Linked DNA regions of Lytechinus pictus. The protein of the gene in region 1 binds, or shares a complex with, the protein of each later gene. Links are inferred from orthologs where the notes say so. Each region holds a gene or a part of one and is shown on either strand. Other genes may lie near its edges.

The links.
Region 2: telomerase reverse transcriptase-like (region 1) and H/ACA ribonucleoprotein complex subunit 1-like share a complex: the UniProt entries of both Homo sapiens proteins name them as parts of the telomerase holoenzyme complex. The link is inferred for Lytechinus pictus from reciprocal best matches to the Homo sapiens genes TERT and GAR1.
Region 3: telomerase reverse transcriptase-like (region 1) and telomerase Cajal body protein 1-like share a complex: the UniProt entries of both Homo sapiens proteins name them as parts of the telomerase holoenzyme complex. The link is inferred for Lytechinus pictus from reciprocal best matches to the Homo sapiens genes TERT and WRAP53.

What each region holds. Positions count from the first base shown.
Region 1 is NC_087260.1:22,796,589-22,807,362, reverse strand, and holds the start of telomerase reverse transcriptase-like, read right to left. Parts: upstream 4,886-10,774; 5' UTR 4,644-4,885; intron 1,387-4,643; 5' UTR 1,340-1,386; coding exon 1,236-1,339; intron 1-1,235. UniProt on the Homo sapiens protein: Telomerase is a ribonucleoprotein enzyme essential for the replication of chromosome termini in most eukaryotes. Active in progenitor and cancer cells. Inactive, or very low activity, in normal somatic cells.
Region 2 is NC_087262.1:10,787,075-10,796,822, forward strand, and holds the start of H/ACA ribonucleoprotein complex subunit 1-like, read left to right. Parts: upstream 1-4,703; 5' UTR 4,704-5,039; intron 5,040-9,748. UniProt on the Homo sapiens protein: Required for ribosome biogenesis and telomere maintenance. Part of the H/ACA small nucleolar ribonucleoprotein (H/ACA snoRNP) complex, which catalyzes pseudouridylation of rRNA.
Region 3 is NC_087260.1:24,210,304-24,221,027, reverse strand, and holds the start of telomerase Cajal body protein 1-like, read left to right. Parts: upstream 1-5,995; 5' UTR 5,996-6,068; intron 6,069-10,408; 5' UTR 10,409-10,545; coding exon 10,546-10,724. UniProt on the Homo sapiens protein: RNA chaperone that plays a key role in telomere maintenance and RNA localization to Cajal bodies. Specifically recognizes and binds the Cajal body box (CAB box) present in both small Cajal body RNAs (scaRNAs) and telomerase RNA template component (TERC).

The DNA.
Region 1 (10,774 bases):
AATGAAGTTTTATCCCATTTTCATGATTTAGGGCTAGATAGAAGGAAAGAAGAAATGTCGGGGGCAAAAATTTCATTTTTTTTTTGCGGTACACGCACATGAATGGGACGCAATCCCTGGCTCCTTGGAGAGTTACTTAAGCACACGTTAGTAAATGATTTTTAGTCTCTACGAGGCTCCTGGCTAATCCTACTGCTTGGGAGATTTTTTTTTCTTTCTAATTGATGTCATTTTCAGTGAATCTGGTGAGGTTTGCAAAATGATGTTAAATCTTGAGAATCATCCCATACAGGCGTGGCCATGATGACAGGCCAGCATATAGGCCAACATGTAGGCAGAGAGAAGGGGGTACTAAACAGGGTACCATATGCCACCACTTTTCACACAAATTCTTTTGGGATATTTGCTCCAATAGACCAGTTCGTAGTTACTTCATGGACAATTTTGGTCAAATGACCATTCATTTCTTTCATAATGATAGGCAGATTTCAAAGCAAGATATTACAAATGCATGCCTTACATAGCAGGATGAAGAAATTGAATAGACCAGGTGACTAGAATAGCACATCAATGAACGAACACTCTATGAAGGTATTTGTTGCATTTCTACTTTGAATGCATATTTGGGGCATATTTAGAGGATGTTGTACAATGAACTTGGCAAACTTTGAAATATACCAGTCATTCGTGGACGCATTTTTGTGTGGATGGAAATGAAAAACACAATTCAAATGAATAATCTAGCCTTGAGGACTCCATGATAATATTTTTCAGTATTTTGACAAATATTTCTTCATCATGGAGCCTTGAAATTCTTTCCATACATTCATAAGCGGGACCTACACACCCGGATGGATTTCCCTAGGAAATCCATATTTACGGGGTGAAATCGGTTTATAAGTGTGAATTTTACTGATCTTTGAACCGTCAAATGCCTAATGCGTATGAAGGGATAAAAATTATTCCACTATGAATGGCAAAAATGAGAGGTTTCTTACCAGACCGATCTCGTGTAGATCCCTCAATCCGTTTGTCAACAAAGCAAATACAATAGGCCTGACCCTTGAACCGCTTCGTTATGACGTACCTTCGATTAGCGATGTTACAAAATGCCATTTTGAAGAACAATTTATAGATAAAAATTATTATTTAACAAATACTAAAATTTAAAATGTGATTATGAATTATTATTATTATTGTATTTGTGAAACATTGAACAAGTTTAAATTCCTTACCCAGCTTTGTCTTTGGGGATGTAGAGGGGTGGACATCCATCCAGAACTTGAAGAAAGTCTTCCAGACGAGAAACCTTGGGATAGATTCTTTCCAGGATATCCATGGTTGGTCGGGTGGAGTCAGAATCATTCAATTAATGAATCACCCAGTCTAAATAGAAGCAAAGCAATTAATGTGTTAATGTTGAGTGACTACTGGAGTTAGATGGCTAATTTCGGAGTTCAACTTCACAGGTGTAATCTTAACAAAATTAAATTTTGCCTCCGACGAAGATTCTGCTAGGATCGAAAGCTTAGGCCCCTTTTGACTTTCTAAAATTAAATTTTGTCGGCTTCCTGTAAAAAAGGGACTTAGGGATGATTTTCACAATTATTTTTTTCATTATACCCTTTTTAATTTGCTGATATTTTGAGTTTTACTTGTAATTCGAAATAATTTTTGCATCGCTGGATTGCCTAGGATGTAGGCCCCATCTTTCAATATTTGAATAAAAAATTAATTGTAAAAATTACCCCCAAGTCCCTTCTTGTGGGAAGCCCATGGGTAGGTCAACTCTCGCTATTGAACTTAAGGTTAGGGTGGAACTGCAAGAAGAGCATATGACACTCTTTTTTCATCTCCAACACACTCTGGACAATAAAAATAGCAATGAGTGTATCATAGTGGTGAATATACACTATGTATCCTCATTACATATACTCACAAATTCAGACCAATCACTAAGCATCTGATACTGTATGTATTACTAGTGTAGGATAGTTATTTTGGCATTTTCTTATTTGTTTATTTCTCCTATCATGCTATCTTTGCCACCACGCAGTTTTACATTTCTGTTCTGTCCAGACTTAAGTTCATTTACATTTCTGTCAGTACTGCCCTTGCAGTCTGAACTTAGGTTATGTAAGTTCATAATTATATTCAGTTGCCATCCATTCTTTCCACTCTGAATTCCTTTCCTCTCATTCTCTTTTGTCATCTTCATTCTTCTCTATTTAGGTGTTCTACTAATTCCTTTGTCAGTTGCGAAAGGAAGGCTGTATCTTAGCAACCATTTGACCATGGGGCAAAATATTTCGGAATTTTCCGTCAGACACTTGGGGGAACATTTGGTGTGAGTATAAAGAAAATCGGAGGGGTCGGGTGACAAACACTAGTTGATTTGACATGGATTGACATTTGACCCAGACATATTTGATGGGATAAACGGGAAACGAGGTGATCTAAACTGACTTTGGCTAGAAGTAAAACAAAGACAGAGGCTTAACAAGAAAAGACCATGCCTGGCTTGATCAGAAAAATAATATTAAAGATATAGATCTAACGTTAGACGTAAAAACATATACAAATCATGGCTGGGTGAGCGACAAAAATTAAGGAGAGTTAAGTAAGACTTAGGGGGTTCTAGGCCTAGATGTAGATCTGTTAGATCTAATTATGATGATAAAACATTAACAGAAGTCATAACTAGGCCGAACTACAACCATGGCATGAATGATAACTAGCAAAAACAGTCCTCATACTACCAATGTGCTATGGGTCTTCCTGGGTCCCCAAGTCTACGCACCTAACGACTTGAGTTTTTAATATGAATTTCTTTTTATTTCAATAAATCTTTTAAGTTAATAATGTTCCTTATATTATGAGTACGTAAGTGTACCAAATATCTCATAAAAAATTGAAAGAAATGGGGTCTATAGGATTGTCTTGGAAAAACCTCGGGCAGTCATTTTCAGATTGAAAAAAAAAATGGTATAGAGGTCTACCCAGTTGTTGTGTGTCAGGACTAGCCTTGAGGACAATTTATAGATAAAAATTATTGTTTCACAAATAGTAAAATCTAATACATAATTATTTATAATCAGGTAATAAATTTTGAAATTTGTGAAATATTTTTTTTCTATAAATTGTTCTTCAAAACGGCATCGCTATTCGGATGTACATGTACGTCATAAGGAAGCAGTTCAAGGGTCAGGTCTATTGACTTTGCTTTGTTGACAAACGGATCGAGGGATCTACAGGAGATCGGCCTGGTAAGAAACGTCTCATTTTTACCATTTATAGTGAAATAATTTTTATCCCTTTATACACTTTAGGCGCATGAAGGTTCATAGATAAATAAAATTCACCCCTACAAACCAATTTCACCCTCTAACTATGGATTTCCTAGGGAAATCCATCTGGACGTGTAGGTCTCGCTGCAGCGTCTATGGAAAGAGTGTCAAGGCTCCATGTAGAAGTACATGTCAAAATACATAAAAAAATATCAGACCTGGGAAGCGTTTCACTTGTCAGACGTTTTATCAAGTCCCATTTTATTTCCAACAGTTACCATAGTAATAGTGCCTCTCAGCCAATCAGAATCAATGAAAGATGTCAGATCTGACAACTTGTCAGACCAAAATGTTGATGAAACACTCCCCGGGAGTCCTCAAGGCTATGTCAGGACGATCAATTTTAGAAAGTCATAATTTGGAAAAATTTACAAGCAAAGTTTCATCAATTTTTAGTAGGATGGGGGGTTGGGTGTCCGGACACGTAACAGAAATGAAGCCTTGTTTTTATCTCAGGAATAAACCAAAAATATAGGTTGAATAGTTTTTTTTCACCATCAATATTTGTTCTTTATAATATTTTCTTATATTCTGTGCTAAAAAGAATTAAAGACATTGCTTGTAAACTTTTCAAAATTGAGAGTAAAAGTCATGTGTCCGGACACCCAACCCGTCCGGACACACAACCACTGGGTATACAAAATGGTAGCAATTATAGAGAACAAGATTAGAGAAGACAACTAGTATTATTGAATTCATAATATTTTAGTGTAATCCAAAGTAAAAAAAAAAAAAGGCTTAAAAAATAGTGTCCGGACACCCATCCCCCCCATGTCTGCGCACCCATTCACTTTGCACACGATTCAGGTATTTTGAAGAGAAACTAAAAAGTAAAGGCTGCATTATGACTTATGAGGCCATCAATATTATGATTCATATAAAATGCCCAAAATTCATTCTTTTTCCACCATTTTGTCTTTATAAATATCTGTCTTATGTGTTGCAAGCGTTTGTGTTCGTTGCATTTCTTCTTTTACAAGAATTGCGCAGACTTGTTGGGGGAACTAATTGCCATACCTCTTTAGTCTTGTGCATTTCGAATTACTGTATCACGGAATCGTGATGAATTGTATATGTACCGTACGTGTAATATTCGCATGCGTTGATGATAATGAGGTATCCTAACCTATATTTGTGGCCATTTACTCGTTTAGAGTTTACACTTTATTATATTTTAAAATGTTCCATTTCTGTTTCCAATTACGGCGGATTCGCGGCGGAGATGGTGGCATCACCTAGCATAATATTACTAGCCCTGGCGCTAGATCCTAAATATTTTTGGGTATTTCACCTCACCTGAAATTGCACCTTGATGATTGAGGTTGAACTGCATCAGTTGGTTCGCTGAAATCGCTTCACAAATATAATACGGCCGCATATTTGGGGTATTTGATTTACCCGCGGGATCATTCTTGGTTTCCCTTTTTGCAAGCCTTTGAGGCACTGGCGTAAATCCCGGGGGGGATGGGGGGGATATATCCCCCCCACTTTTCGAGGAGGGGGGGATGGCCTGTACAAACATCCCCCCCAGTTTTTACGAAAGAAATGAAAAAAAATCACAAGAGATAATTGTTTTATTGGTGAAAATTCTTCCTAAAATACCGCTTAACAAATAAAACAATATTATTGAATCATAAAATGACAATAAAGAGCCAGTTCACCATTTCCAAACGAAATACTTATGTCCTTATCATAACATTGAAGAGAAACCCCCGTTTCTTCCAATTCATCAATGTTGGGGTCTTTGGGAATTAGGGATTAAGATGGAATGTCAAAACATTTTGAATGTAATCTCTAATAAAACCATTAACCATCATGGGGTAAAAAAGATAATAATATTGGAGGGTATTTGCCATATGGACATACAGTGGCGTAACTACGCGGGGGGCATGGGGGGCACACCCCCCCCCCCGGCCCCCCCCCCCCATCGGCTGACCAAATAAAAAACGGGGAAAGTGGGAAAAGGAGACAATAGGGAGAAAGGAAGAGAAGCAAAGTGGGAAAGAAGAAGATATTATTCATTATAATGTTATATTACATTATAATTATGTTATGTTACATTATATATACATAAGAAACATTTTTATCATAACTTTATGAAACATAATTTGCCCAGGGCCTACGTCTTCATTGTTCCTGGTGCTCGCATTGTCTGTTTAACGAGATATATAATCCTGTTGTACTAAAACATCTCGTTTTCAAGTCAATATAAACCAAATATATTTCCTAGCACTTGAGTTATCGTTGTTTTACGTAGTTACATATGCTTCTTTTTCATGACTCAAAAAGTGATTGCCTCATGTTAAGGTCTTCGTATATATGAAACATTTCCTGTCCGTGATTACGTTCGCATTAGTGGATTGGTGAGATATGTCTGCTCTTCATGAATTCCTAAAATCAGTCCATAAAATGTCCCTTCTTCTGATCTGAATATCAAAAATTTTCAGCTCGCGCTTCGCGCTCGCATCATTTGGTTAATGAAATACGTATGGTCCTAGTTAATTCCTACAAAGAAACCTTAGATTGCCCCACTTCAGGTCTGAATTATCTAAGTTTTCAGCTCGCGCTTCGCGCTCGCATTGTTTAGCGAGACAGGTTCCTATCATGATTACACAAATTTGATTATAATGTCCCTTTTTAGGTGTGAATATAACAAAATTTCAGCTCGCGCTTCGCGCTCGCATTATTTGATTAGTGAGATACATATCCGTTTAATGACATTGTCTTTAAAATTTCTCTATTAGGTCAGTATAACTGGCAACTGCGCGCGCTTAGCGCACTCACTCAGTGATTCAAAAATGTTGCTGGTGCCCCCCCCCCTCCCCCAATGCCGTGACCCACGGTACGCCACTGTGGACATATCAATGACAATTCCTTGCATATCTAAAAACATGATTGCAAAAAATTCCAAAATATTTCAGTCATCCCCCCCACCCATCAACACGGATTTACGCCAGTGCTTTGAGGCTTTTTGGGATACCATTTTCTTTCATTATTTTTTTTTCAAATCTCATCTTAATGTTTCATGATTATATTTGTATATTTATGTTTAAAATAATGTATGATATTTGTATGTTTTTACATGTATATACATGTATTATTGAAATAAATAAATGAGAGTATTTCCACTCTCCCTCAATACAATAGTATTGAGTTTTTCTCTGTACTCTTTTTCCAGGATGCATCAAACATTTTGCCATATTTTTTTCTAGATATCATCATGCGGCAAATGAGATCTTATGTGGTTTCTTATAATCAAGTATATCTTCAACTTATAATGATTTTCAATCAACACGCTGGATTCATTTGTTGATAGACTTTTCTAAAGTTTTTAAATCCGAATAATAAATCTGAATAATACGAGCCAGCTTAACCGTTTGCTTGTGTCATCATTTTCTATATTCTTTAAAAAGAAAGCAGGTCATTGCAATGCAATGAAACGCACGCAGTTATCACACAGGTAGATTAAAAGACGTTACAAAACAATGAAAAAAAAAATAATGCTTTTTCATGAAAAATAAAGAATGGGCGATCTATATATAGCTTTTGTCTCGCCTGCATAGTAGAGCGAGACTATAGGCGCCGCTTTTTCGACGGCGGCGGCTGCGTCGATGGGCGTGCAAACAGTGGGAGAGGGGGGCAGAAAAAATCACGACCAAGAAGAAAAAGAGAAAAGGTAAGGGATAATGGTGAACAATTTATCACAAAACTTGGATTTTTGTAATAAAAATGTCGATTTTTTTTTCTCACTCGCTTAGATCGCTCGCAATTTATTATCAATTTTACGCGATACGCCATTTCGAGCCCCCTGAAAATATTTGGCTCATTACGCCACTGGCCAACATTGACATCTTAACCAACTTACTTATTTTTTTAAATGTCATCATGTCTTACGAAGTATATGGACCCAGTTCAAGAAGCAATTGGACTTAACGGTAGGACTAATCAAGTATTCCGAAACATCCTGCCTGAATTTCAGGTCACATGATCAAGGTCAAAGGTCATTTAGGGTCAATGAACCTAGGCCATGTGGGAATCAACACCGAAATCTTAACGAATGTTTATTTTTTTAATGTCATCATAACTGTAGAAGTTTAAGGATCTGGTTCGTGAAATCTGGTCATAAGAGTAATCGAGTATTGTCAAACATCCTGTGACCTGTGCATGTTTCAGGTCACATGATCAAACTCAAAGGTCATTTAGGGTCAAATAACTTTAACCATGTTGGGGTATGTGCTAAATTTCATCATAACTTTGAATGTTTATAGATTTAGTTCATGAAAATTAATTAGACAAGGGTAATTATGTATCATTGAACATCCTGCATGAATTTAAGGTCACATAAATTTAGGGTCAATGAACATAGTATTTCATTATCATATGGATGTTATTTTTTGTGAATAATTATTCAATGGTTGTTTTTCAAAGTCAGCACTGCTGCTATATTGAATCGCATAACGTATGTAACGGATGTAAAGTTGATAAAGTATTATCAAACATCCCCTCTGCAAGTTTCACGTCACATGATCAAGGTCAAAGGTCATTTAGGGTCAAAGAACTTTAACCTGTTGGGGTATTTGCTGAATTTCATCTTAACTTTGAAAGTTTATAGATTTAGTTCATGAAAATTAATTGGACATAAGGGTAATCATGTATCTTTGAACATCCTGTATGAGTTTCAGGTCACATAAATTTAGGGTCAATTAACATAGTATTTCATTATCATATGGATGTTATTTTTTGTGAATAATTATTCAATAGTTGTTTTTTCAAAGTCAGCACTGCTGCTATATTGAATCGCGTAACGTAGGCGAGACTGCCAGAGGCGTTCCACTATTGTTATTTAAAAGAGCAAAAGGTTGAGACTATATTAGTGTACTACTGTACATAAAAAATAATGTTGATAATTTACTTTTATCTGATTTTATTTGATTTGGTTAGTTTAATATTTTAAACAATTGATATGATATTAACCATGACAATATTGATTAGTAAATCAAACCGAAATACTGCCTTTGTATAGAAGGTCGTGCAATGCTTTGGAAACAAGATTACATCCAATTATGTGCCTTTTTTTTTAAAAAGTGAATATTTCCATCATGGGAAAGCCTAAAACGAGAGACCTTTTATCTACTGCTCGAGATGATCCATTACCATTGTATCTAAATTCCCGACAGACGACGTTTCCTTGTACGCAGCAGAAAACCAAAAGCTCCATTCCAGGTTAAGACCTATTCCTAATGGGGAAGAAGGCAATTAACTCAATTTTCAGATTTCGCTCCTCAGTGACTTAAAGAGCTTGTATAAATACGTCAGAATGAAAAACAGTTTTTTATTGTGTGACGTCCAACACATCGCAACGTGCAGTTCTCTAGATTGTAAAGACAGTGTTCTATTAAATCTTATAACCTAAACGTGCCAGCAAGATATGAAATAATCATCTTTGGAAGCCGACATCGTTTTAGCGAAAGATGACATGACGAGTTAATTCTTGGATCGCATCTCATGGTGGTATCCCTTCGAAGAGATGATCAGTGTGATGAGATATGGGATGTCGTCATGTTTAGATGAAATGATCAGATGACGGGATCTATTCCGTGGAAGCGCCGTGGTGTAGCGGTTCTGACTCTCGCCTTGTAATCAGAGGGTCGTGAGTTCGAATCCCGCCATGGCCTAGCGTCCTTTGGCAAGGCGTCAATCCACAATTTGCCACTCTCCACCCAGGTGTTAAATGGGTACCCGGTAGGATGCGAAAGCCGATGTAGTATGCCTAGCAATTGAGTCTTAGAACTCTTGTTGGAATGCTCCCCAGGGAGTGGAGAAGGTGCATACATTGTATGCGGGCATGCAAGGATCCGATGACCGGGGTAATAATATATCTGTAAAGCGCTTAGAGACGTCGTTCCGATGTGTTAAACGCTATATAAATGCGGAATATTATTATTATTATTATTCCAAATCATGGAAGACAAAACAGATAAGATATTAACTGATGATGATGATGATTATTACTATTATAGTTACTATTATTATTGTTTTTTTTTCAATTATTTCATTATTATTATTTATTATTATTTTTTTGTTATAGTTCTTTGGGTCTGATATGTTGTGATCATAAAATAATAATAAGTGGCCCATGAATGTGTTGACAGGAAGTGAGTTCCAGAGCTGAGCTGTCCTTGACAAGACAGTGTTTTACTTTGGGACAGTGACTCTTTAGGGATGGGCAGCTGCAGTAGAGCGTGTCAAACTGACATTGGGGGCCAAGGGGGGGGGGGTTCCATGCAGACAACTCATCGGATGGTTTCAGGAAGAAGTGACGGTAGAAGGTACATGTTCAGAGAGATGCAACATTTATCCGGTGCTCAAGTGGATAAAGGCAAACCTTGGTTTGTCTTCAATTCTCTAGAGGCGGATCGCTTTCCGCTGCCTATCAAGAAGTGCGAGTACAGCTGCTCTAGCCTGTAGTTCGATGCATATATACAGCTGTTCCATTTCTTGGGCTCATCTACAACATGGGCAGTTTTCCACTCTGAATGTGTGGTTTTTCTGCTCAAGGACAACTGGTATAGCTTTGAAAGAACTGGTGCAAGCTCAAGTGCACAGTTCTTAAGTACGGTGGCTGATGCCATCTGGACCAGTTGCCTTGGATATGTCAAGATTTCGTAGTTTCTTGAGGATAACCTTAGGCCAGAAGCTGATGGTAGAGACAGATTCACCAGTTTTCAACTTCAGCTTATAGGAGAAACTTGGCCCTTATCATCAAGATGCGCATTTGCAGTGAAGGTGCTGCATAAGGAGCTCAACTTTGTAACATCTGCACGGCCATTGTCATCTTTCGGTGGAGGGACAGCAGATGACTTGTTGCTTGCAGTTACATATTTGACCAGTTTCCACCACTGCTTATTGCTGGCATGCTTAATTGAGTTCCTGCTCTAGGTTTTGTGAGAACTATACGTGCTCTGCATAATTATGGTACGCTGACATCTAGATTTAGATTCCATAATAATAGGAGCCAAAGATGACTTGTATGGCTCTTTTGCCAGTTTGTAAGCCTTCTGTTTGGATAACAGTGTCATGACATCTGCCATTGAACCATATGGCTTATCCGAGTACGTGTGTTCGATAGTCCTGGATGGTAGTGAATTAAAACGTCCATTGCATCTCCAATGTTTTCTTTCTAACTGTTCTAGGCGATATCAGCACTATCAGCATTATGTGACTTTCAAAGGGAGGACCAGTCAGCTTGAAACAGGAACGAGCGCAGACTATCCCAGTCAGCTTTCTCGTACAGCCAGTTTTGCTTGTAGTTAGCTACATACATATCACAAATCGATCAGAAGAGCCAAGGGGATTATCAACCGATACCACGTGAATGCCAGGAGAAGTAGTTATAGAAAGAGGTCCAGTTTGGAAAAGTTTATTTG
Region 2 (9,748 bases), on another chromosome or scaffold:
CAAAGAATTGTTTCTGCAGACTACATCTCAATAGCATAGCATTATTTTTTTTGGTGAAAGATTTAGCCCAACATGGATGGTCCAACTCTGGAGACATACACAATCATCTAATGCACATGTGAATATATTTCCCGGGGGCCAGTCAAATTTATCGCTGTACACACGCATGACCAAAAAAACGTGTTTAAAGGGGATTTTTTTTCAGTTTTGGACACGGGCCATACGTGCACTTGTTAAGGGTATCAAAAACACCAATTTTCAAAAACTAAGGGGTAGCTTTGAAAGACTGGTCAATGGTCAATCGCAGGGTCAAACGGATTTAGGGTATGTTTTTTGTTTCCAAAGCTTTTTTTTTTAAGACTAGCCAAACCTGTTTAGGGTAGGGTTTTTTCCCCGGGGTCATATTCTGGCGACATTGTTAAGGGGTCAAAATGTGTAAATAAAGCCTGCGAAAACTTGTTTAGGGGGTTATTTTGCACACACAGAAAAACTCGTTTAGGGGGTGTTTGGAAATCTTTTGGCCACGCGTGTGTACAGCAACACATTTGACTTGCCCCCCCCCCCCCCCCCCGAGATATATTTATGAATATTTAGGAACCTTATTCCTTGATTTGATAAATTTAGAATTACTCTCGGCCAATATGCATTCTTTATACATAAAGAAGTACACTTAGCTTTCAGTTCTTGCCTCTAGAAGCAAATAATAATAGTTGGTGAAGAAGATGATGGGCAAACTATCATTTTCTACTATGCGATCTTCCTGTAGCTCAGTTGTGTACATCCAGCTCAACAAGGAATTGATAGTTTGTCTATTCACCTGAAACCAAGAGGTGATCAATTGCTTTATATTCCACACCTGACAGGCTGAAGCCATTGAACTATGCATGTATGGGAAGAAAACCATATTTATACTTCTTTACATTTTTACAAGAACGAATTATGGTGTAAAATCATTACTCTTGAATTTCTTTTGTATGTAATACTAAATTCTGCAAATTCAGGGTTATTATAGATGATGGTTAAGCTTTTCTCCAAACCACCATAAATTATGATAATGAAGATTGTGTATGTTCCATTGGGAATCAGACCTAGTTTTACATTATTAGAGAGAAAATTATTTGGCTATTTCAAGTAACAATTATTGTTAATTGTTAATTCATTGTTACTTCATTGATGACATGTGCAATGTCTTGTAGAATTGAAATAAACTTGAAATAAACACTTGAAATAAACTTGAAAAATTAAGAGATATAGTGGCAGTGTGTAGTACATCAGCTCTCTCATGTGCACTGCATATCACTGTTTTGTGAAGGTAATTCAGATGTCATAACTTTACGGTATTTGACAGCCGATTTTGATGAAGTTTTCAGCAACATGCTGGGAACTTTGAAATCCACTGTTTTGCTTTCCCCAGCTTTTCTGGGGACTGAAGTGCAATATAGATATTCAAGAAGTATTTACTATTTACATATCGTTTGAACGCATACAATAATAATTGTATCAGAGTATATGCTATATGATTGCTTACTGTTTTTGTCTCACCTGCATAGCAGAGTGAGACTATAGGCGCCGCTTTTCCGACGGCGACGGCGGCGGCGGCGTCAACACCAAATCTTAACCTGAGGTTAAGTTTTTGAAATGACAGCATAACTTAGAAAGTATATGGACCTAGTTCATGAAACTTGGCCATAAGGTTAATCAAGTATTACTGAACATCCTGCCTGAGTTTCATGTCACATGACCAAGGTCAAAGGTCATTTAGGGTCAATGAACTTAGACCATGTTGGGGGAATCAACATCAAAATCTTAACCTAAGGTTAAGTTTTTGAAATGTCATCATAACTTAAAAAATATATGGACCTAGTTCATGAAACTTATACATAAGGTTAATCAAGTATCACTGAACATCCTGCATGAGTTTCACATCACATGACCAAGGTCAAAGGTCATTTAGGGTCAATGAACTTTGGCCGAATTGGGGGTATCTGTTGAATTACCATCATAACTTTGAAAGTTTATGGATCTGATTCATGAAACTTGGACATAATAGTAATCAAGTATTACTGAACATCCTGTGCAAGTTTCAGGTCACATGATCAAGGTCAAAGGTCATTTAGGGTCAATGAACTTTGGCCAAATTGGGGTATTTGTTGAATTACAGCCATAAATTTGAAAGTGTGTTGGTCTAGTTCATAAAACTTGGACATAATAGTAATCAAGTATCACTGAACATCCTGTGCGAGTTTCAGGTCACATGATCAAGGTCAAAGGTCATGTAAGGTCAAAGAACTTTGGCCACGTTGGGGGTATTTGTTGAATTGCCATCATATCTCTATAAGTGTATTGGTCTAGTTCATAAAACTTGGAAATAAGAGTAACCAAGTATCACTGAACATCTTGTGCGAGTTATAGTAGTTTTCAAAATCAGCACTGCTGCTATATTGAATCGCGTGATGCAGGTGAGACGGCCAGAGGCATTCCACTTGTTGTTATTTTATACAGATCATCTTTTACTATTGAAATATTTTTTTATCATTACATTTTGTGTTTTTTTTTTTTCATTATTTATTTCTAAATAAATTATATCTTTGAAATTAAACTTTGTGTCTCGTTTATTTTTCATGTTGTTATGTCCATCTCTGTGTTTGATGGGCCATAGATCTTGTCCCCGTGACACAAAACGATTAGCAATTAATGGCTAAATGAAATGGCCTATCAAGATCATCCTAGTATGAGCATTTTGCTCAGTAGACTGACTAGGAACCAATCAGAATTGCTCTTTCAAATTAGCAATTGAACGCTAACCTTTGTGCTACAGGGCACTGGTAAATATTACTTGGTCTGTGCACATTTTGTCTTCTACTCTCATCCCACATGGTCTAATCATAGTTTGTCTATGCACAACCAGGAGGGTGTTTCACAAAAATTTAAGTATTGCTTTGCAGTATCAAAGGCATCACTGCATTATCAGGCAAAGAGGACACACGCTACTGCGTAAAAATCAATATGATTGCATGTGCTGTTACATCATTTTCCGAATTGGTAATTAAGCATGACTCTAAATCCTTATGCAAAAAAAGAGGAAAAGAAATTTAGGGACTAGCTCACTAGTGTACGAATGGCATATTCCCATCATGCTAACTTATAAAGGAGGGGGGGGGGCACACTTGTGTGAGAACGGCATATTTACATTAAAAATATTGACTATATGACTCTCGAAGGAGTGCATGGGCCTGATGTACCCCCCCCCCCCTGGATCCGCCACTGAGCTTCACACATTTTACCTATCCACTTGTTCTAACACTGTCTATATCAGGGGTTCTCAAACTTTTTTTGTGAAGGGCCAGATGAGACTCCAAGTATACCTGAAAGGGCCAGGGTGAAGTGGATACTTAGAAAAAAATGTGCGCGAAGCGCAAAGACCCTATTGCGGCCGGGGTCCTAGATGCTCTCTTGTGCAATCTGGCCGTTGTCTTATTTTGGGAGCATTTAATCCAACAAATTTATAACAGTTTCATATGGAACGCAGGCAAAATTAGAAAAGATTTCAAAATACAGCGAGAGTCAATATTGATAACAAAATTGTAGTACTTTGTTAAAAGGAATCTAGATTGTATACCTTTACATACCTGGTATTGGGGAGTTAGATAATGTCTTAATTGAAGTATCAATATTTTTTGTAGTCAAAGTAGAATGAATAATAGAGCATGTCTGTTGTAGACTTTCACAAGGATGTCAGTCTCCTATAGTCACTTTCAATATGGGAAAAGTGACAGTCTGTCAGCAACAAGTTGCTTGAACCTTGACACAAAAGGTGTAATTGCCAGACGAAGGCACTGGTGCAAAATTAATGTTCACTGGTCAAGCAGGGGCCGCGGAAGCGGGGGGGGGGGGGGGGCTTCACCCAAAACCATGTGTACAAAAACGTAAAAATTACCATATGATTGTGATTTTTTGCATGGCCAGCCCCCCCCCCCCCCCCACTTTCAAAACCGTTCCGCGGCCCCTGTCAAGGTACTTCGGTATGAATTAATTCTTTAAAATGTTCATTGTGGAAAATGCACTTTCGCACCTGTATGTAGATCCAAACATGGTGAGAACAGCGCTCTAGTCATCTAATAATTAGAAAGTAGATCGAACAGACAGCTGCTCCACTAAACTTTGTTTAAATGTCAAATTAATTTGACTGCCATTACTTTTATTACGGTTAGGTCTACAACTATACACAATGTAATCATATTGAGCTATGTTTCATATTGTGACTTAATTAAAAGTGATTAAAAAAAACCCAGCAGAGTCTCGCGGGCCGGATTGAGAAGCTTCGCGGGCCGTAGTTGAACTGTTTATGAACCAATTTTTTTTCTTTGACATTGTGCAAAAGGTTTAATCGGGGTTGTCAATTTTTTTTCTTCAAAAAATTATATTTTAGTTCATTTTTTCTGTATGATTCTTGCCAAAAAAAATGAGTAATCAGTCCGCTTCTCACTAGTTGTCTACTACAGACTATGCCTGTGCCTCTCGATCCGTCTTCCACCCGAGTCTAATATAAATTCCTCTGTTCACCCTTCTCTCATACCATCTTCTTTTCCCTCTTACTTATTTCTGTATTCTCTTTCATCTTATCTCATAATCTCTTCTCTATAAAGTCTAATTATTTTTCTTTTAGGTGCTTCTCCCTATAGTCTTGAGGACGCAATGATGATGACTTTTAAAATCCTGTCATATATATACTTCTTCATCATTATGACATGATTTTAAAAGTCATCATCATTGCGTCCTCAAGACTACTTCTCTCCCCCCCCCCCCTTTCTCTCCCTTTCTCTCTAATCATATTTTATGAATGTGAGTCAATGGTAGACTTGTTCTTACTGTGGGTCGATGTTTTGGAAAGAAGTGGTCGCATTGCATTGTGAGGACGAAGTAACATATTGTTTGGAACCGAGACACGTGGGTGCTAGCTTAGGTTGACTTTGTGATACTGTCGTGTCGTAAAACCCACTATTTCTGCCTTTCAAAGTAAATTGGCGTAAGTGCACAAGGTTAGTATGGTTCGAAATAAATATCCCCATTTATAATTAATATTCATTTTGTTAACAGTCTTCCCAAATTTTTTATTAAAGATAAAACATTTGAGCATTGCTCCGGCCTGCGGATACGGTAATTCCATTCTGCTCGGACCGGCCCGAGCGGGGAGCTTCCCACTCCCAAACACGGAGGCTCCTCGCGGTGAGTTCGCTAGCTATCGCCGTTCGGCGGGTCCGGTGCTAATGCAGTTTCGCACCTGCCGACTTTGACTTTGTCTTTGAGAGAATTTCCCCACCAATAGATAGGGACAATGATTTTCCTGTTTCTAAAAATTGCCTCTTCCGGTTTAGAAAAATCTTAAACATTTCAAATTCTGTTTCAGCAGGACAAAACGTAACCCAGGGAGGGAGCCCAGGCATGCCAGGGCAGGAGCTAGGAGCATGAGGAGCTTACCGTGTATTTGACCATAGTCACCGGACTAGGGTGATTTATGGTCTAAATATTTCTCCAAATTAATTGTGAAAACAGAAAGTATACAATTGAATTACCACGATTATATGGATGAAGGTCTAAGTACGAGTGGCAGTTTCCTGACATCTGGGCACAAACTGGAACCTAAAAAAAACGGAAAAGTTCTCTCCTACCCCCGTCTCGATCGGCCATTTTTGTTAAAAATCGTAACAAAATGGCCGATCGAGACTGGGGTAGAGGAGAGAACTTTTCGTTTTTTTTGAGGTTCCAGTCTGTGCCCAGATGTCAGGAAACTGCCACTCGTTAGACCTTCATCCATATAATCGTGGTAGGTATACTTTCTGTTTTCACAATTCATTTGGAGAAATATTTAGACCATAAATCACCCTAGTTCGGTGACTATGGTCAAATACACGGTAAGCTCCTAGGCTCCCGCCCGTGCAGCGGGCGGGAGCTTCCTGGGTTAGACGAAACGGAAATTCTGTTTTTGTGTATATGGAAAATTGACGATTCCGTTAAACGGAATTGCCAATGGCAATGACTAAATTAGTAATGAGTCGCGAGGTCAAAATTTGTATCTGCCACTGTACTAACATTGCTTTAAAATCAATTTTAATTGAAGAGATTCGAGTAGATCTACAAAAACTATTATTATTAAGAAAAATCATTAGACCCTAACTGAGATTTTATTGCTGATTTGGGGAATTTTTGGACATAGGTTTGACTTTGAGCAGTCAACGACTTTCGCCTAATTGCCATTTTGGATTTGTGGAATACCGCGATCATGATAATAAGACCGAAGTCCGAACGCAGACATGGCAGAGCCAGAGGGCAGCAACATGGCCGTGTTTCTGCCTTAATACTGGCTTTATGCTGTCGTGAGTGTAAACTAATTTCGAGTGCAGTCACGATGTGTGGATTGTCATGATTGTTGTAGCGAAGTAAGATAATAATAATGATTGATAGGCATTTATATAGCGCCATCTATCTAGAAATAATCTATTCATACTCATACTCGTACTGTCATAGGCGCATTGTTTATTAATATTACCTCGTCCTCGGCTTTACTCCTTTTTAGGCTTTAGATCGTGTGTTTTTCCAGTTGATATTTGTATTTCGTTGAGAATTTGGGAGTAATTTCTGTTGCTATTCTGTGCATTTAGAGAAAAAATATGTTTTCCGTGATTTTTCGTTTGAAAAGCCATTTTCCGTTTCAAAAGGTTGATTCCGTGAATTACGTCCGTTTTCCGCAATAGCGGAAAGTCATTGTTAACAATAACATATTTCATATAGCAAGTCTCTCAATCACATTTTAAGATAATATATACCCACCACTTTACCGAATGTCGGGAACGGTTATATTTCGGGCCTTTCGGCTTCGATCTCGATGTCATATGACATTTGCGAACAATTACTGGTGGGAAGTTCTCTCGAAGTTGGTTCGAAACTTAATTAGCGCCGCGGGGCCGGCGTTGAATTTGATCCGGGCTGTAGTGTAATTCATAGTTAACTTCGTGATGCTGAATTTTCTGATCGATCATACACAGTAATCAATGCAATCCATTGTAATCAGCCCATGGTTGATCATCTTGCTAAACCAGAAAAAAAGGAAGAAGACTAGCTCTAGACTCTAGTCTAAAATTATTTTTAATGTGTCATTGTGTGTGTGTGTTGGCCCCATTTTCAATGCGTTGCTGCAGATATCTGTTCCGTGATGCAGTATGGCAGGGTGAAAGAATCCTCTATTCCCCCCTCCGAGGTCCTGTGTCGTAACCAGCTAGCGCTATATTTCGCCCATTAACACTAATATTTTAACAGAAATTCTTTTCACCATTTCTTTTGCAAAATGCTACATCAAAGGGTTTTTTAAGATCAGCAAGGAAAATGTGCTGATGGCATGATTAACGCTTTCATCTTGGCTATTTGTCATGGAAAGCAGCCATGTAGTACTCGGCTTGGCCAGGATGGTTTCAATTGGCTCGCTGGTATGGTGATCGGCCAAAAAGTCGTGCAAATTGTTTTCCTATTTATAGTACTGATGATTAATGTTTCTGTGTGTCTTTATGTTTTTAGTCTGCACCAAATTTTTTTGTCTGTACATTCTTATCAAGACTTGGGATGTTAGTCCAGGATAGGCCCCATAGAAACTTGACCAAACCTCGTTTTTTTATATATACAATATTTTTTGATGGTTTCTTGTCAATTCGAGGGTGCTGATTACGAATCTGGATGATGCCACTCTTGTAACCTTGAGCATTTTCCGCAAATTGGCAAAATCCAATATGGCCGCCAAAATATGCAAATTACCCATGAAAATCATAAAATTTTCCGCACATGGGCTATGAAATCGTGTGGCAGGAGTGAAATACTTTCTGAAAAAATAATTTTTTACAAAATATTTATTTTCCTGATATTCAAAATGGCCGCCATATGCCATTGTATAAAGGTACTCTATTATGTACAATATTAGTAGGGAAAACTAATTTTCACAAAAATGAGCACTAAACCGCAAAAAATCGATGTATGAACGAAGTAATATATGCAAATCATCATTACTAACGAGATATATCATTTATTATGTCATATATGGGAACATTGCTGTATTTTGATATGTAAAATAGCTGCCACTGGCCAAAATAGTATTATGTACAATGGCTATGGCCGGGGCCAAAAAAATGACAAGAGTGATCACTAAAATGCATATTATTAAGATAAACGAGTGGACTACTGACTAAAAACATCATTGTTAATAGCCATTTATGTGATAAATGCTTTATTTTGAAATTCAAAATGGCCGCCATAGGCCCTATATTTATAATGTACAATGCGAATGGAGAAACTAATTTTCACACGAGTAAGAAACATAAAATGCATGTAATATACGAGTAAAGTATTGTCTGACAACATGTTTTATAGCAAGACATATCATTTCTTTAGTCATGCATGAGATAAATGCTGTATTATGAAATTCAAAATGGTCCCTTTAGGTCCTAACAGTATTATCTACAATGTGAATGGGACATATAATTTTGTAAGAATTTGGATTTGCTTGACTATGACATCCATATAATCCTGTTGTATGAGTAAAATGTTATTTGAAAACACATATTTTCTTTAATTATAGCATTTCTTCTGCCATATAGGTGATAAATACTGTATTTTGACATTCAAAATAACCTCTACAAGCCCTAACTAAATTATGTAACATGCGAATAGGGAAAATGCATATAACTGTGATGTACGAGTAAAAATATTGTCTTAAACATGATTTCTAACTAAATACATCACATATTGGTCGTGGAAGTAATAAATGCTGTACTTTGATATCCAAAATGGCTGCCATAGGTCCCAAAAGTATTGTGTACATTGTAACATGGGACATATAATTTTGACGGAATTTGGCTTTGCTTGACTCTAAATATTGCATATAATTGTGAGTTGTGATGTAAGGGTGAAATATTGTCTAAAACCATGGTTTCTAACAAGATATATCATAATGTTGTGTAATTAAGGTGATAAATGCTGCATTTTTAAATTAAAAATGGCCACCATAGGCCCTTATCGTATAATATACAATTTGAGTGGAGACAAATAATGTTCACAAAAAGGGCATATGGCAGTCATTTTGAATATTGAAATACAGTATTTATCACCTAAATTACATAAGATATGATATATATTTTGCTATAAATCATGTTTTCAAACAATATTTCACTCATACATCACCATTTGGCCAAGCAAACCCAAATTCTGTTGAAATAATTTGTTCCCATTCACATTGTGCATAATACCGTAAGGGCCTGTAGCGGCCATTTTGACTTTCCAATAACAGTATTTATCACCTAACTGGCAGAATAAATTATATATCTTAATAGAAATTATGCTTTCAGACAATATTTTACTCATAGATCACTATTACGTGCATTTATGGTGCTCACTCCTGTGAATATTGGTTTCCCACTTTGCACTGTACATAATAGGTTAATGTCTATATGGCGGCCATTTTGAAAGTCAAAATACAGTATTTAACACAAACTTGAAACCTGAATGATGTATTTCGTTAGAAAATACGTTTTTAGACAGTATCCCATTGATTTATCACATGTATATGCATTTTAGTGCTCACTCTTGTGATTTCTTTGCTCCTCTTTCTCATTGTGCATAGCACTTTTAGGGCCTTTGGCAGCCATTTTGAATATCAATATACAACATTCATCATATACATGGCATATTAATAATATATTTCGTTAAT
Region 3 (10,724 bases), about 1.4 Mb from region 1:
TAGTATGCCCCCTATATATATCAAACATAATTATATATGGCTTCCCCACCCAGGAAAAACAAAATCGGGGGGGGGGGGTGGGGGGTGTATGATGACCATGCTTCTCTGTGCGTATCACAATAAGGAAAACGCATAATAATATGGGCCAGTGGCGTACAAATGGGGCGCTTCCCCACCACCCACCCCCCCCCCCCCCCAAAAAAAAAAAAGGACAGAGAGAAGGGTGAAATAATATACGAATATTATCTTTAACTTTATCACAAAATTTGATTTTTGTAAGAAAATTTCGAAATATTTATTTTGTTCGCACGCATTTTTTTTTTATTTTAAATTTTGCCCATTACACCATATCTCGCCCCCTTAAATTTTGGGGCTTATTATACGCCATTTATATGGGCCCAACACTGAGTGAGCACAATCGCCACGATTATCAAGAAGTTATTATACGAAACGCTTTGTAATCCCATGCACTGCTGCTGATGAGCGATGAGTAATTGAATTATCGAAAAGATAATTAACATTTTGAGGATGTTATTGTTCTTTCTTTGTTTGTGTCCACTATGGGTCATTTATGCACACAATGTAATTGTTGGCCACGGAATAACTTGGAAAACGCTATCATCACGGGGTTCTACAGAACGACACAAAGGTCCTCCGAGGAGGAAAAGCCCAAGAACAAACATTATTTCCAAACAATACAATAAGCCCACTTGTCATTGGACACCTTATACGCCTACTGGTTATTTACACAACGATATCAGCCAATCAGACGCCGGGTTCTTTATTGTGAGGTCAGACCCTAAGTATGCCAGGAATGTCTGCGAACTGTGTATAAGCTGGACTCGTCAACTTTGACCCTCAAAAGAATATTAGAAGATTGAATCGTGTCTGACTTTGAATGGGGTTTATACAAATTCGTTCACTATTTGATGGAAAAAAAAAGCTTGGAAGTTGTCTTATTTTTTGTGGACAACGCCCCCTCGAATTCAAAACAAACTTGGAGATAATTGTAAAACATACACCGATGCTCTCAAATTGAAAAACTTTGAAGAAGAAAAAAAGTGGGCCTCTTATTGTCTGCTTAGTTCAATTCCCGTTCTTTTGTCAAATGAACTGTAAGCTCTGGAAGAAATGAATAAAGAATAAAGGCCTAACCAAGCTATTTATTTAAATAATATTATACTTTGAATGAGTAACACTCACTACTAACAAAATTGACAAAAGTTGGGCAATTATTTTGAACAAATATGTTGACAACCTGGTCATTTGTTTTTCGGTATCTTGGTAAACTCTCAGTTTGGCTTGACCAATAAGGCCTAATTCAAGTGGAACATTGGTTTACCTGAGTAGTATGGGGAAGCAGAGTACCCACCCCCACAATAACTTCGATAGCCCCTTCTGCAGTTCTCACAATGCCCCCCCCCCCCCCCACTCTCCACGATTTTTGTTTTCGTTCGCTCAATTCGCTCGCTCGCCATGTTGTGCCCCTTGGTTCTTTACGCCACTGCCCTCTTACCCGGTTCTCTTTCTTTCATTTTTTTACCATTCTATCCTCATTTTCGATTACCCCCATGCACCCCCATCCCTCCCTTGAAGGGGGCATAATGATTTATTATTTCTTGGGCTTATCCCCTGTTCTTCAATTACTAGTATTTTTAATGGAGATGGTTTGTTTAACATTATTTTCCATTCACCTGTGTAACCTTTTCCGGATTCTTTCTTCTATCATAACGCAGATTTTCCAGGATATTCCATCCTCTTTACAAACAAGATAATTTTCGGTTACTAATATTTACTTTGTTTGTTTATTTTCTTGGTTAGCTATTTGTAATTTTGGCGTATCAATATTCATTGTGGATGTTCCCCTTCCATATCCAGCGTTGTTCAATGGGGGGTCCACATATAATGCCCGATCAGCTGTTTGAATACTGTTGAATAGCCAAAGTTTTTCTAAATAATTTCTTTTAAATACATTGGACTTTAATTTTAGGAACAATATTAGGTTTCGCTTTAAGCATGAATAACGCAAGCCGAAAAAGCGCAATCTAAATTTCGTTACTATGAAGAGGGCATTTGATAACCAGATAAACAGTTCGATCTGAAATCTTTGAAATACTCACCTGAAAATGGCATATTTTAAGGACCATCAATAAGAATACACAAAAGTAATTCTCTTAAAGCAAACTAAATGCGAGTGCGAAGCGCCAGGTCGAGCTGCTGTGTACATTGATATAAAACATTCAATCACTTTTATTGTAAGCTTGAATACGATATACATCTCTCTAAAAATAATGCAAACGAACAAAAAATAAATAAGTAAAAAAAAAATAGGTAGGGGGCAGACATGGCGCACCGAGGAATTTCATAGAAAGCTGCGAGCGAGCAAAAGTTTTGAACTTTTTATTTTTTGTGATAGATTTTGACTAGGGTCCTATGCTCCCTCCCCGCAGCCCCACCCCCTGTATACGCCAGTGCTTAAAGGAGCAGTACTTGTCCCAGTTGAATGTGGAATAAAATGTATTGAGTCATTCAATTTGGAAAATTATATTACCAGATATGGAGAAAGCAAGGGAGAGGGTATAGGGATTTGGGTGAACCCGTTTATTTTAACGAAAATTGAAGCACGGCACTTAACATGATAACAGGTTATCACTTTAATCAGATCGAGGTCATTAATTATTGTGACTTCATTATACAGGATATTGGTTTCCACTCGATATACTTTTGAAAAGTCAGAGAATATATATTTTCAAAATCGAATCCCATGTAGGTGAAAACCAAAAATCACCCATCAAAACCTACTCCCGTTTCAATCGTCTATGATCTACAAAATCATATATAATCGGGAAGTGAATTTGAGTTGATAGCCCATATCTATCCATATCGTATATCAGAGCCAAAATAAATCTACCCAAACCAAGAACATATTGCCTGAAAAGATAAATGAAATATCTAGAAACACCCAGTATCGTAATGAGTAAAAAAAATTGAAGGAGGCTAGGCGTGGTTTGGTGTAAAGTTTTTAGAGCTGTGAGCGAAGCGAGCTAGCAAAGATTTTGACCCTTTTAATACAAAAATCTTATTTTGTGATAGACTTTGACACGATAATTAGAAAGTAATTTCATATTTTACACATTTTCTTTCATTCTCTTTCGCCCCCTTTTTTTCTTGATCGTGAAAATTTGTTGGGGTCCATCCCCTATCTGTATATAGGCCAGTGGAAACACCATGGCTTGTAATGCACATCCGTCTCACATAAATTTATCATTTTTTGAAACTTAAATTGCTGAACTGTCACACACAGACTCCTACATTCCAACCTTATCCCTGTATAAATTTAACCGAACCTTTGCATTTATATATTATTATTTTTTGTTGTTCTTGAATCTGGCCCTAGCCTAGTTCAACAAATCCTTGCAGTGCGCTTTGCGCGCCAAATAAGTAACTCATTTTTCCCCGTGCCCCCATATTACGATCCATGGTTCCCCATTGAATATTGTATATCTTTGAAGAGATGATCGAATTCGTGACAACAAAACGATGGCGTACATAACCTTCAGACACCCCCCCCCAAAAAAAAAAAATAAATAAATAAAAGTGACTCATCAATGATGTGGCTTAAAGCGAAGAGGCGCTATCTTTTACAGTGCGCGCTTGCGAAATTTCTTCTATCAAATTAATGACCTTATGTTTCTCAAATCTCCTGAAATATAAGGCCTTATCTACTGAAAATAATGATGAAAAATTAAAGTGATATGATAAAATAAATTGTATTGGTTCATATATTCCCTTTTTAGTGAGAGCGCCAATAAAAACCAATCAACATCAAAAAATAAATGAATAGACAAAAAATAAATAAATGAATAAAAAATATAATAAGAAGAAAACAAGTAATATTTGACACTAAAACATGGCTTGAATAGCTTCTCAAATAATCTTAGGCGAGACAAGCTATTTAAAATAGACTGACTCAGAGTTAGATGCATGGGAACACAGTTGGGCTTTTCGGCTAGAATTAGTGACGCAAATCAAATGAGATGGCGCTGCGTATGATACATCTTCATGGCAATGATGATGACGGAGATGATGATTATGGTGGTGGTGGTGATGATGATGAAGATGATGGTGGTGGTGGTGGTGGTGATGATGATGGTGGTGGTGATGATGATGGTGATGGTGGTGATGATGATGATGATGATGATGATGATGGTGGTGATGATGATGATGATGGTGATGATGATGATGATGATGATGATGATGATGGTGGTGGTGGTGGTGGTGGGGTGGTGATGATGATGATGGTGGTGGTGATGATGATGATGATGATGGTGATGATGATGATGATGATGATGGTGATGGTGGTGGTGATGGGGTAGTGATGATGTGGTGATGGTGGTGGTGGTGGGGTGATGATGATGATGATGTGGTGATGGTGGTGATGATGATGATGATGGTGATGATGATGATGATGGTGATGGTGGTGGTGGTGGTGGTGGTGGTGGTGGTGGTGATGGTGATGATGATGGTGGTGGTGGTGGTGGTGATGATGTTGATGATGGTGATGATGATGGTGATGGTGGTGGTGGTGGTGGGGTGGTGGTGATGATGATGTGGTGATGGTGGTGGTGATGATGACAATGATAATGATGATGATGACGGTGATGATGATTATGGTGGTGGTGGTGATGATGCTGATGATGATGATTGAATAAGCGATTATACAACGGTGTGCTGATTTATCTCTTCTCTTGTATTCCAGATTTGAAAAATTTTAGCAAAAAAAAGTAAAATGTCAACCTCTGGGGTTTGGACGATACGAAAAAAACAAACTTATACTGCCCAAAATTACCTTTCTCTCCCTTCTTCATTCTTTATTCTCTTTTCTCCCCCCCCCCCATTTCCTCCTATTTTTACTATTTGAAAAAAAAATGGGGGGAGGGGTGTGCATGGCACTGGGAAGCGGGGGTGCTCAACACCGGCCCGCAAGATTTCGCAGCACCCCTGGAAAATAATGTGGTTGGTATAATATTAAGCTTCATTCTGGAATGAACCCCTCTTCCTTTTGTTTGTTCTTTTAATTGCTTGTCAAATTTTCCTTGATCAAAATCATTTACATTTTGGAGTGACAGTCGTTTTTTTTTACTTGTCAAATATTTCTTTTAAATGCTAGCACCCCTTCTTAGACTCATTCCAAGGCTCTTGGGGCGTCGTCCTCTGTCCCACATGACACTCGCAATCTGCTAAGCATTTTTTTTTTGAAAAAAAACAATTGTCTCGTTTGAGGAGTGAGAGATGAAGGGGTATGTGAGCAGCATGAGGAACTTCTTGGAGTTTAAACCGGGTTAAAACAGTCAGATCCTCAAAGGTAAATCCAATTAAGGACCCTTCAGGCTTGTTCATTCCCCCCTTGCATATTACAATGTCACTGTCCATTACTCATATACAGTGGAAAGCTGATGATTAGGATGCGACAAAGAGATTAAAGTTTGCTGCAATCAGCTGAGCATTAATGTCCGATTGGACAATAATTTCATTTCCTTTCCAGACCATTCATTTTATATATGATTTCTTTTACCATCCCCCAAAAAATTGAATGCACTTATCAGAACATCAGTTAGTGTATTTATTATCATACTTAAAAAAAAATCTTTGATCTGCCTTTTAGGATTTCACATTCAAGCAAACTCAGTCATACATCTATTCTTTATGAAGTGAGATAATAAGTGTATTACACAATGGAGAGCATGGCATTTTCCTCATCCTTCATGATCGAAACCCTTTTTTCTGTAAAATTTATATGTAAATTTATCAATTTTTCATTATATTTTTTTCGTTTTCGCGTTTTTTTGTTTTGTTTTGTTTTGTTTGTTTGTTTGATTATTATTATTGTTTTTTTTTGGGGGGATGACGTCTTATTTTACACTCCCATGCCCCGCTTTGTGCAGTTATTGCCCGTGTGACAATCTGATTTCGTTTTTCTTTTTGCTATTGCTAACTTACAAACAAATATTCCTCCAAGAGCGTTGGACGTTTTGACGACACCGTAATTGAACACCTTGTCTGACTTGGTAAGTTTAATGATATAAATTTATGATATTTACATAGCAAACGTACTAAAATTTAGTGTTTCATGCGAGGAGATTGCGTTAAGTGAATTTGTGTGGTGAATCAAATGGATTTAAAGCTACTCATATATTGTTTTTCGAGCCATGTGACAATTTTCCTGCAGATCTCTTTCTCACCTCAGTCCCATTCGTCTTCGTTGGTGTAAGTTCGTGGCGAGTGAGGCCTGGGGCTGGGGTGCTAATGCAGTTTCGCACCGGCCGACTTTGATCAAATTTCCCCACCAGAAATTGTTCGCAAATGTCATGGCAAGTCTCTTGGTCACATTTCGAGGCCAATAAACAATACACATTTCCACCGTTTTTCAAATATCGTGATCAGGAATGGCTGTACTTCGCTTTGGCTCCGATCTCTAGAGTCTAGACTATATTATATTACTACGGCATATTACTATTAGTATTACTGTATTAGTATTAGCATGATTAGTAAGTACGTCATCAAACTTCTCAATCTCAGTCAGACATCGCTTTTCTTGGCTTCGTTGTAATTTTGATAAAGACTGAAGTTAGCAACAAAGATTGAACTGCGGCAACTCACTCGTTTGCTCGCCAAATGTTTGCACAGTTTTGGTTATTAACTTCAGTCCATATTAAAATTATGGCATAGCCACGGCAATGCGAAGCGTTCACGATCGTGATAATATTCAGAAAAGCGGTGGCCTTGGGTGAGCATATGGGCGTGGTATATCCCTACAGAGTTATACAAGACACAACTTGAATCCCACCCATGGGTGCATTACTGCCGCCGTGCACGGTAAAATCTAGACCAAAAGCTTCGGTCTCTGTTATGTTGGTTGTTCAGCTGAACTCCGTTGGCTTCACTCACCAAATACAGAGACCGAAGTTCTAGCGCGATCTGTACAGGGGACTCAATGGCCATATGTTTATGTGTATTAAGTTCGGATAATACAGGGCAGTGAAGTTGCGCGACAGCCGAGGTAAGTCACTGTTTTTGTTCCTTTTAACTTGCTTTTCCCCGTTTTTTGGCAATTAATGCCAAGAGGGAATATTAATTTGCATTTCGGTCGCGGTAATTTTCAAAAGTTTGATTCATTAAAGACAAAAATTGAAGAGCCCCGACGGGGGGATTTTGCATTGTAAGTCCCCTAATGGTGGCTGCACGATAGCGAGCCGTCTGTGTATGAGGAGAAATAAAATAAAAAAAATGTTAAAAAAACTCCTCGAAACAGACGGCTGCCAGCTGTCTAGGTAAAATCAAGGCACGATGCATGCAACTCTCTATGAGCTGATCCTTCCACAGAATACATTTAATTAGTAGAGTAAAACAATTTTGTGATATTAATGCTTAGTTCTAAGCTAGGGCGGCCCGAATGCGCGTGAATCGAGTCCCAGTTTCCTAACACGGGTAAGTATAGGGGTGTTACCGATTGGGGTCAAACGCGGTTCGGTGTACGAGGTTAGTATAGCATACTCATACTTACTAACCTCGTACTAGTATGAGTACTTTAATCCTTGCTTGCTGCCTGGAGATGGTGTACCAACCTCAAATTCAGTGTTTATTTGCATGAATAATTTGTTGAACAGTAAGTGTTCAACTTAGATAATTTGTATACAAAAAATACATGAATATAAAAGGCTTTCAAATTAAATTGAAAATGAGCTTCTATTCATGAATAAACATTACTTTTTCTAAAGGCTTAAACATTCAGAGTAAATCAACTGAGCCATGGAATCAACATGAAGAAAAGAACATTGCAAATAGTATTGTATAAGGAATGCAAAGCAGGAGATGAAATGATGGCACTGAAGAGGGAATGTGAAGCATGAGATAAGAATGTAAATCAATGGCAAAAAGAAGCTGCTGAAAACTGCTTATCTAATAAAAGAGAGCCAATGGAGTAAATTATAAAGTCAAAAGGGGGCCTAAGCTTTCGATCCTAGCAGAATCTTCGTCGGAGGCAAAATGACAAACATATAAAGTGGAACAACCATAATATAGACCACAAACAAGCTACAGCAACACTAGAAACAAGGAGACAAAAGGGGCATTAGTGAGTAGAGAAGACCAATCAGGTTAGTGAAGGGGATGAAAGAAAAGGAGTAGGCAGACACAAAGGGAAGTTAGTGTAAGTAAGGCCAAGAGGGATTAAGATAATGAGGCAGGCAACATCAAACAGGATCTGGAACAAAACAGTGATAGAGGGATGAATAACTAGAGAATTGGTGAGAGGTGGGTCAAACAGGTTACAAAGAAAGGCTTAATAAACTGGTGCATAAGAGTGGGGGGAAAAAAGAAGAAAAAGAATGGGGAACAACTGATAATGTGCAAAAGACATATAAGTATATATGATAAAGCATTAAACAAACTAAGAGAAGAAGGTAAGTGTAAATATGTATCTATAAGTGATATGTATATAAATATATCCAAAAAAGAAATGTATATGAAAAAATATATAAATATATACACATATGGTGTAACTGATATGGTAATCCGCTAGGTGTGACGGGAAAAAACATAAGACTATATAGTAGGAAAGAAAAAAAATCTGTATATGTGAAAAAGAGGAAGCAAATTGCCTAAAAAGGTAAAAGCAAATATAGAGGAGAGGGGGTGTATTATGAAGAAACCATAGTATACATGTAAATAAGCAAATGTGGTAAATCTAAAAGAGGTGAGTGGAGAAAAAACAAATATATATATATATATATATATATATATATATAATAATAATTATATCGCCTGAATAAGGAAGGAAAAATTGGAGCTGAGCTTGTATGAGATATGGGAGGAAAGTAGAGTAAGAAACTATAATGTAACTATTCAAAAGAGCTGAGGGGAAAAATTATATGTATATATAAATTGAAAGTGGATAGGAAAGAAAAATCAGTCGTTCCCCTCTTGGATGTTCAGGCCATGAGGTTGGGTGGTGCGAAGTCGTCTCATCCAGAGCTTCTCCCTGCTAGTACGGACTGAGTCAGGACGGGTACCTAAAGATTCGATGCCCTGTAGCATCATGTCAGTGATGGAGTGGTTGGGGAGGTTAAAATGGATGTAAATCATGAGATGAATATAGGAGTCAATGTAGAAGTGGTGAGATAAAAGGAAATGTAACATCAAAGGAAATAGAAACAATCTATGCATTGTGTTAAAAATAAACGCCTGCAAATGATAGACTCCTACACTATGATATTCACACAAAAAACTTACTGCTGGGAAATTTGCTTGAAGTTGGCTGGTGCAAAACTGCATTAGCATGAGGCCTTGTTATGAAACAGGGTCTTTGCCAATGAGGCTTTGTTTTTGAACATGTATATTGTCCCACCGCACCCACTCCCACCGCAGCACTAGCGTCCTTTGGCAAGGTGTTATCTACATTTACCACTCTCGACCCAGGTGTAGTAAATGGGTACATGGTAGGAAGAAATTCCTTGAATGCTCGATGCGCCCAATCAGGGTAACCGGTGTAATAGTACGCAGTGCTAAGAAACATTTGTATTTAAAGTGCTATATAAATGTTGCATATTATTATTGTTATTGTCCTTACTCCTATAAAATATTCTGTAATCTGAAATAAGTGAATAGTATGTCTCTAACCAAATTTGTTTTTTTCACCTAGCTAACATGTCACTCCCTGTCCAAATTGCTATAGAAATAACCTTGCAGACTCTAATGTGTATAGATAGACTGGACCACATGGCTTAGAATGCAAAGCCAATGAATGTTGTCTAGTTTACGTACTCGGGGAACTCAGCCTTAGGGGGTAACCATTGGTAGACTCTATGTAGTCTATATTTTAATCATTTGCATTGATTGATTCTTTACTCATCTCTGTAATCTTGAAATTTTTTGGTGGAGATTTTTACCTGATTGCTAAGAAGGCATGAATGCTTGTAAGCAAGCAACCAGAGGACCGATGGCTCAAGGTCCTCACCGAGGGACCTGGTAATAAGGATTAATGCCTTACCAAAGGGCACTAGCGCACCAAGTGGGAATTGAACCCGGGTCATCAGAATCCGAAACCCCTGCTCTACCGACTGAGCTATTATGCCTCCTGACCCCTGTCCGACACAAAAAGTAAAAAGAAAATATTGAAGATTGTTGCTATTAAGCTAGAGATCATTAATGGCATGCACAAGACACAATACTTTTGGTTTGTAATATATGAATGATGCGTGGTATTGAGATGGGGACTACTTATCTATCTTTCCCAATCTCAGTGTCCTGCATATTCTTAAAGATACTTGATATCATAAATATAAAGCATTGTCTCTGAAAATATTCTTATCTATCATTTTATCATTTTATGCTATCTTGTCTTTCACAGTAATTATCGAACATGTATCAGGATGTCGTGAATCACTAGTGTGGAGTACAAATATCAGATGCCACATTGCTGTAAGCTTCAATACCTAGGCTAGTCAAACGAGGACTTGACACACTCTCTGTCCGACTACAAGCACAATGTCTCTTCCTGATGTTGGAGATACTGGTCAGCGAGATGCGCTTTCAGAAACAATCAGCAAATTCTTGGCAGAGGAATCAGAAAGACAGAAAGTAGAGAAATCACCAAGGACAGCTGGCATAGAGAAGGATGTGGAACACCTCAAAGTAATGCAGGCAGAGGAAAAATCATCAGTGAT